2 linked regions of the Nothobranchius furzeri genome follow. The protein of the gene in region 2 purifies or fractionates together with the protein of the main gene of each other region. This does not show direct contact. Links are inferred from orthologs where the notes say so. Each region holds a gene or a part of one and is shown on either strand. Other genes may lie near its edges.

Region 1 (3,508 bases), on a different chromosome or scaffold from region 2:
CAGGCTAACATTACCAAAAAAACCACCCTATAACGCCTAGTTAGAACTAAAAGATCGTATCTTGATTTTTAAAGACTAAAGCAGAAATTTGTTAATTATACAACCAATTGCCAATACAGAAGTCTTGTTTCCATAATTTATAGAAGACCATTTTGATTTGCTGCCTAAAAATGACAAAGTCTGATAGATATTTAAAAATGACCTCTTGTAAGGTTTTATTTCAGGTGAAAATGTTGAGAGGTCAAAAACCAGTCAACGTAGTCTAAACATTTTATGTTACAGAGAAATGAATTCATCTGCGACTCCTTTAGCCACCAAACCAATGCAGCTTTATAGGATTAGACTATGAAAGACGCAACACAACAAAACTTACCTAACAAAATAAAAACAAAAATATGGTTACAGGTGTAATTTCTTCTTACAAAAGGTAAAACGAAATTTTAATTTACACAGCTTCCTTTTCACAGCAAAACCGCTTCATTTTACTCCCCGTGGAAAAGATAGCGTAAAATGACGAGAGGTGCAGGTTTGCATTTGGAGCATACTGTTTTTACGCGTAGCACTAAAAGTTGAAACGGTCTGAAGTACCATTCTGGCACAGGAGGGTAAAGTAGGTGGTGAAGGGTCTAAACATGGGGCTTAAAAAGGCCCCTTTACAGATAAATATACCAATGATGCTTTCTGGAATGTCCAAAAGCTCTGAAACGGATGAAACCAGAGTCTGTTCAAAACACAACTACATCCAGGATTTAGTCATCAAACTTGATTTTCTTCCCCTGGGGTTTTGATCCAAACCCGCCTCCACCTCGCCCACCTAAAGGGAACACAAATCCAACAGTTCAATACCCAGCAAGTAACACAAAGCTGAAATACTCAAGTCCAAGTACCATCATGACCATCGCTTACCCCCAAAGCCACCTCGTCCGCCTCCTCGACCACCCCTTCCTCCTCCTCTGCCACCCCCTCGGCCTCCAAACCCGCCGCGGCCTCCTCTGAACCCGCCACGACCTCCACCACCACCCCCTCTGCCTCCACGGAAGCCGCCTTCACCCTTGGGCCTGGCGTAATCCAGGGTCACCCTGCTGCCGTCTATTTCACCGTCTTCCATCGCCTCCTTTGCTGCCTTGCAGTCGTTCTCGTTGTCAAAGTCCACAAAGCCAAAGCTGTTGAAGAATTGCTCAGTTAGAACAGCAGCTAACGCTCTTTAATGAGCAGAATTCTGTTAATGCAGAAAAAATAAATTATTCTATTTCAGTTCGTGTTAGCGTGTGAAATATGAAATTGTCTCACATCAGACATGGACAGATTCCACTCAGGAAGCCGTCTGTTTAACTGCGACTTCACTCTACTTCTCAAGTGAACCCACAATATGCCACAGAGACAAAGCGACGCTCACGAGAAGCTCTGAGACACGGAGCTCTCCTCGTACGTACCCTTTAGACGAACCGGTGTCCCTGTCTGTGACTATCCTGGCTCCTACGGCGCCATCGAAGGAATCCCTGAGGGTCTGATCTGTGGTGTCCTCAGAGAGACCCTTCACAAAAAGAGTCTTTGTTGGACCTGATGGAGGAAAGCACAAGAAGTATCACGATATGAACATAAAGACCAGCTTTCACACGACGAGGTCACTAATGAGACCTGATCAGTACTTGACTATCTTTTGAATCTTCACAGAGGATCGGGAGATCACTGGCTCATCACATCTGGTCACAACTATGAGAGATAGTATTAGTATTGGAGATGTACCGGAGTTTCCCCTGCCGCCGCCACCGCCATCTCTTCCCCCGCTGTTCTGGCTGTACTCCAGCCGGATGGTCCTGCCTTCAATTTCTGTATTGTTTAGGTTCTCCAGAGCTTCCTTGGCGTCTTCAGTGCTTTCAAACTCAATAAAGGCAAACCTAGAGACAGAAGCAGAAAAAAAGAGAAACATTAATAAAAGACAATAGCAGTTTTTACATTTACAATTTTACTTGGTCACTTGTTGCACAGCGGACATGGACAAAACCCGCCTGCAGACAGGGCTAAGTCTGTTTCGACTGTGCTTTGGCTCTGCTTCTCGTGCGAATCCGTGCATAATCACCGATAGGATTAAGAGGAGCTCATGAGAAGGTTGTTTTGGATCACCCAACAGATCCACAAAGTTAGCCAAACTAATACTCACCCTTTAGGCCTGCCGTCTCTCTGTGGAATCCTGATGGATGCAGCTTTCTCAAAGGTGGACTGCAACACTTCTTCTGTGGCGCTGAAGGCGAGATTATTCACCACCAGTGTCTTGTTGGCGGCGCCTGACGCTACACAGCAAGAGAAGGGAAGAAGAACGCAATCAGACACAATCGTATTCTAGAAACACATCACGAAGATATAAAGACAGAAACATGAGATGTTTAATACCACGAGAAGCTTACTTGATACTCTGCTTCCTTTCTGGCTTTTCTCTCCAACATAGTCGACCATGATTGACCTTCCCTGAACTTCAGCACCCTGAGCCTCCCCCATCATCTTCTCTGCTTCAGCCTCGGTTTTGAACTCAATGTAGGCAATACTGTAAAAACAGTGTTTATTAGAGCAGATCTGATTAAAGGAGAATGTGGAGGAACTCTGGAATTACACGCCACATCTCCCCGTAAACCAACATTTCTGAAGTAATCAGGATCGCTCATCTTCCTCTTACCCTCTGTTGGAACCGTTTTGGCCTTGAGGTAACCGCACATCAACAGCATCTTCAAAAACCTCCTTCAGGTCATCAACCGTAGCAGAGAAGGAAAGGTTTTTCACAAACAACGTCCGGGCGTCCCTCTCTGTAGGACACAATGGAAATAAACTTAGGAACAATTTCTGGGCAGCCAAGTAAGATGCCGACAGCTCACAAGTATTTATCACCAATTCAGTAACATCATGACGTCATCATTCACCTTTCTTGCCCTCCTGTGCGTTTTCTTTGCTGCGAGCCTTGTCCATCCTCAACTCCAGACCCATGAACTTCTTGCCATTGAGCTCCAGTGCTTTGTTGAGGTCTTCCTCGGATGCAAAGTCCACATAGCCAAATTTCCTAGACGAAGTAAACCACAACAATTATTACTGACAGTTTAGGAAAAAATAAATAAAAAATAAAAATCTGCCCAAGGCCTACTTTGATCCCCCAAGTCGAACATCCACGATCTCCAGACTGTTTTTGGTGAAGAATTTTCTCAGCCCATCCTTGAGTTCATCGAAGTCTTTGCTGGAGTTTAGATTTCCGATAAAAAGGCTGAAACCTGTTGATAAGAAAATTGTGTCATTGTCAGACTGCATCAGAGTTGTGATGGTTTGTAATCACGATGAAAATTCATAAACATGTCTTACCTTCACCATCCGACTTTGCTTTTTTAGCAGGAGTCTCCTGCTTTTTGGTCTCTGCCTTCCTCTTTTGAGGTTTTGCTGGAGGTTCTGAGGAGAAAAGGTTACAGCTCTCATAACAAGGAAAGCAGAGTCTGACGCTCTGATAATCTCACATATTAAAACTTAATTT
Region 2 (4,253 bases):
CCGCGATAACACATGACGTCACTAAGATGAGCACCCTGCTGACAATGGGACAACAGAATGGCGGTGACTGCAAGCATGGAGTGGGCGGAGGAGGAGGCCTATATGCCTCAAGTGGCATATATTTGCCACATGAGGATATCTAAAAGCATGTCATTTTGACATATATAAACAGAGGAAAAAATATATCGCAATATATATCGTTACTGCACATGCTTCAGATTATATCACAATACAGATTTGAGGCCATATCGCCCAGCCCTATATTGAGGCTAAATTAGTTTCTGTAAAATAAACCAAACACACAGGAGAAGATTTAAAAACAAACATGAATGTGATTTAACAACAAAAGTGTTCATTTTAAGCAAAGCACGACACCAGTGAAACTTCCTCTTAAAGCTGAATAAATTAACAGTTTTCGCACAGCTTCAAATTGAAAAACAAGTACACACCTTGATTAAATTATTGTATTTCTAATCAGCTAACAGACAGGTCTGCATAAAGCTACATTTTGCATATCCTTTGAAGAAGATTGTGAAGGTCTTCTGGAAAATGTACCCAATTGTTTAGGGCTGGACCATCAAATGTTCTATACAATTGAAAACAGGCATTAAGGAATCTCACAGACCAGATTTAAACGTAACCATTTGGGCGCCAGTTTTTTTTCAAGATCATAATTAATTTTGACTCAAGCTGAACGATTGACTGCATATGCAATTAAATTGCGATGTGACTATTTTCTAATCACAAAGACTGCGATTTGACTGGCAGCGAGTGGTTAGCACAATGCTAATATCATGGAAAAACCCACAGGGATGCCAATTCTTTTTTGTTTCCTTAGTTGAAAATAATCATGAATTAAATCGCAATTGCAATATCGAAGAAAAAAACTTGCAATTAGATTACTTTCCAGAAACACTCAGCCCTAATTTTGACATGACAATTTCAAAAGGTTGTGGCTTGGAAATAGAGATAAAGGTGAACTGTAAGAGAAAAATCTTCAGTAAGACTTAAGTTTGTGTTGGGAGCAAATTCACTCATTTAATTTGCATATTATGACTTTACCAGGCTAGCCTGGCCTGCCAGACTCCTCTGTTTAATTCTGCACAGAGAAGGGGTCTGGGAACTCTCATTATTATTTTTTAACCGTGTCCCGTCTGGCTGTGAAGCAAACAGAATTGATGTCTGAATGCTGGTAACAAGCCTTACAGATTTACTCTCAGGTGGATCATCAAAGCGTCTGCTTCTAATGTCATGCCTGATACTTAAAACTTTGTTATTGTTTTTAAATGCTTTGTAATTCCGACCAAACATGGAGACAGAGGTGAAAGAGAAAGGAAAAGACAAAAGGTGGGAAGAGAGGGGGAAGGGGGTCCACAAAAATAAACAATAATGAACAAGAGTCTGCTTCTAGACCTGCAGAAAGAGGCAAGAAAAAAAAAACTAAAAATTATGGGACACAACAACAATACAAGATCAAGCTATCACTGCGTCAACTTGATGAAGAAATATATAATCAACATTGTTGATTATATACACTCACTGATGGTAAAAAGTAGTTATGTCCCTCCTTCCTTTATTTTGAAAGGGAAAAAAACTGACATTCCTCACAGCCATCTAGATATGAAATATGTTTCAGTAAAACCGTCCTTCCAAAATGACTGAAATGTTGACTCTTTTGAGATTTTCTCACTGTAAAATGCTCACTTTATTCTTACATACTGCACCTGTGAAGGGTACCTGGGATGCAAAATCTAAATAGTGAAAGGAGCTTTAGTTTCGTACCCTTCTTGCCGCAGTAGATGAACTGTCCAGTGTGAATTCCCTCAGCAGCGATGAAGAGCTCTGTCCTTTTCTTGAACCGGTATGGGTCACGGAAAGCCACTTTGGCAAGGGGAGCACCACGGCCAGGGTCATGGATGATATCCTGAGAGGATCAGGTATAAAACTTCACACCAGCCTCACTCTACAAGACCAAAACCAGTTCTGAAGCATCACCCACCTTCACAATCCCCTTGATGTAACCATGGCGTTCAGCGAAGTCAATGTGACGGAGTTTAGCAGCACCTTTCCTGTGCTTAACGTGGGCTCTGAACACAGAGCCTGCACCTTTTCTCTGTCCCCTGATCACACGTCCCATCGTGTTCTGAAACAGACAGCAGAGTACTTCAGGGCCACATTTAATTGGAATTTTACAAATCAATGCTTTGCAAGGCTAACAACGCTCACCCTGTCATTTTTAAACACTCTTAAACTAATAGTCAATTTTACATAAACGTTTGAGGTATTGGGACAAAAACATTAAGATTTTGACAGAGGGAATGTTAGAAAAACTATTATATATTTCCGCTGTTAGGGCCATATGAAAGCAGGTTTAACTTCACATGTCCACAACATCTTTTACGGTGTTAGCTTAGTAGCTAATACCGCTAACACCGTTCATTAAACAGTGAGCGAAGATTTACGTGTAGTCTTTTAATTTACAATCTTATTTCTCCATCGCCTTGATTAAAGTACCGTACATCTTAAAAACACAAATTGGTGAAGCACAGTAGCCGGCCTTTTAGTCGCTAACAGCGCTACCACTCCGCCATGTCACCAAGCACTTAAAATAGTTTAATATAGCTTTTGACAAGCCAACTGTTAAAATGCTACCTAAATTAAATATGTGAACATTTTGTGTACACATATAAGTATTAGTTTGATGTGGATGACACAGAAAAGTCATGATTAACAAGCGATGAAACGGTGAGAAGCAGAAAATAGCTGTCGTACCTAAACTCCGCTGACGGAAAGAGGAAGCACAAAGAAACATCGCACGTTTTCTTCCGGGGAAACTACTAAGGGAATGATGGGAAATGTATTCTTTAAAGGCGCGAACTAGACAGATGGTCAATTTAATTCAGAATGCAGTTGTATGGAACTCAAAAAATATTCAAAATGCTGTTTAATTCTGATTAGAGAAGGCCAGGATCCCAACTGTTGTCTGCAATTATTCAATTTTATTCAAAAGTCACTCAGGTTTGTAGACAACAATTCTGAGCTTTGTTGGTGCTTGGTGACAAAACCTTTAAAATCATTACTATCGTTTTTACAATAATAAAGTCTTTGTCTTTTTCTTATTTCGTTTACCTAAAAACACAATTCAATTTATATCTATGTAACAGTGTTTACACAATGGTTGTGTGCAGTGATAAATATCATCTGTCAGATCTGGTACCAGATCAGCAGTTTTGTTAATAAATTCTTGTTTGCTACTACCTAAATGTTTTCTTTATAATTGTAATTTATTAATAAAACACCATATTATATTTGTTTTATACAGAACGTGAAACTACATAAAACCGTCAGACTGCCAAAAAAGACAACAGTTCATATATGTGAAGCCACATCTGTTTGTATAAATGTGGAATTAGTCTGTATTTTTCCTTAGCTGCTATGTAAATTAATTAATTAATTAATTAATTAATTAATTAATTAATTAATTAATTAATTAATTAATTAATTAATTCATTCATTCATTCAAAATGTTGCTTGGTGTCTTTTCAGTAAAGTTCTTAAATTTTATTTTGCCCTATATTTCATAAAAATCAAGAGCTTTTGAGACTTTGATATCAGTTGATATCTTTGCATTTTATTTTACATTTACTTTGGAAATTCAAACACATTTTCTCCGAAAAGTGTTGATTTTGGGACTACAGGACTACAGCCACTAAGACTACAACCGTAAATTCATTCTGACCAATCAAAATCATCATTGTCAATGTGCTAACATAACTTTTACGGATGTGGTATCGTAACTTCTGCAAGTCTTACGTTCAGCCAATCATCTACTGTGACGTAATTTGCAGATGCGGTACCCCGAGCCGATCTGGCTGCACGAGCAGATCTGGTACTGACACCAGCCAGCCACTAAAAGGAGTTTGGTTTGTAAGTGAGAACGCACCCTCCAAAAATGGGAACGCCCTCTTCTTATTCGCTCCTGAAATGTTACTTCACCTTCGATATTTCAAAATAAGATACCTGACCTCTACTCAGGACGCTTTGGATCGGTGGGCAGAATACTTCGAAGACCTCCTTAATCCCACCGTCACATCTTCCAGTGAGGAAGCAGAGTCTGGGGACTTTGAGTTGGGCTCTCAAATCTCTGGTGCTGAGGTCACTGAGGTGGTTAAAAAGCTCCTTTTTGGCAAGGCTCCAGGGGTGGATGAGAGATGCCCGGTGTTCCTTAAGGCTCTGGATGTTGTGGGGCTGTG

The links.
Region 1: the proteins of rpl8 (region 2) and ncl purify together in Homo sapiens (affinity purification with mass spectrometry; 3 studies listed by BioGRID and IntAct, with this or other methods). This does not show direct contact. The link is inferred for Nothobranchius furzeri from reciprocal best matches to the Homo sapiens genes RPL8 and NCL.

Annotation. Positions count from the first base shown.
Region 1 is NC_091748.1:62,941,527-62,945,034, forward strand, and holds the end of ncl (nucleolin), read right to left. Parts: intron 3,427-3,508; coding exon 3,343-3,426; intron 3,255-3,342; coding exon 3,131-3,254; intron 3,050-3,130; coding exon 2,913-3,049; intron 2,799-2,912; coding exon 2,672-2,798; intron 2,543-2,671; coding exon 2,406-2,542; intron 2,292-2,405; coding exon 2,162-2,291; intron 2,112-2,161; exon of another isoform or gene 1,977-2,111; intron 1,899-1,976; coding exon 1,747-1,898; intron 1,561-1,746; coding exon 1,434-1,560; intron 1,164-1,433; coding exon 907-1,163; intron 815-906; coding exon 750-814; 3' UTR 591-749; downstream 1-590. UniProt on the Homo sapiens protein: Nucleolin is the major nucleolar protein of growing eukaryotic cells. It is found associated with intranucleolar chromatin and pre-ribosomal particles. It induces chromatin decondensation by binding to histone H1.
Region 2 is NC_091754.1:29,838,195-29,842,447, forward strand, and holds the start of rpl8 (large ribosomal subunit protein uL2), read right to left. Parts: upstream 2,854-4,253; 5' UTR 2,773-2,853; intron 2,144-2,772; 5' UTR 2,138-2,143; coding exon 2,000-2,137; intron 1,925-1,999; coding exon 1,783-1,924; intron 1-1,782. UniProt on the Homo sapiens protein: Component of the large ribosomal subunit. The ribosome is a large ribonucleoprotein complex responsible for the synthesis of proteins in the cell.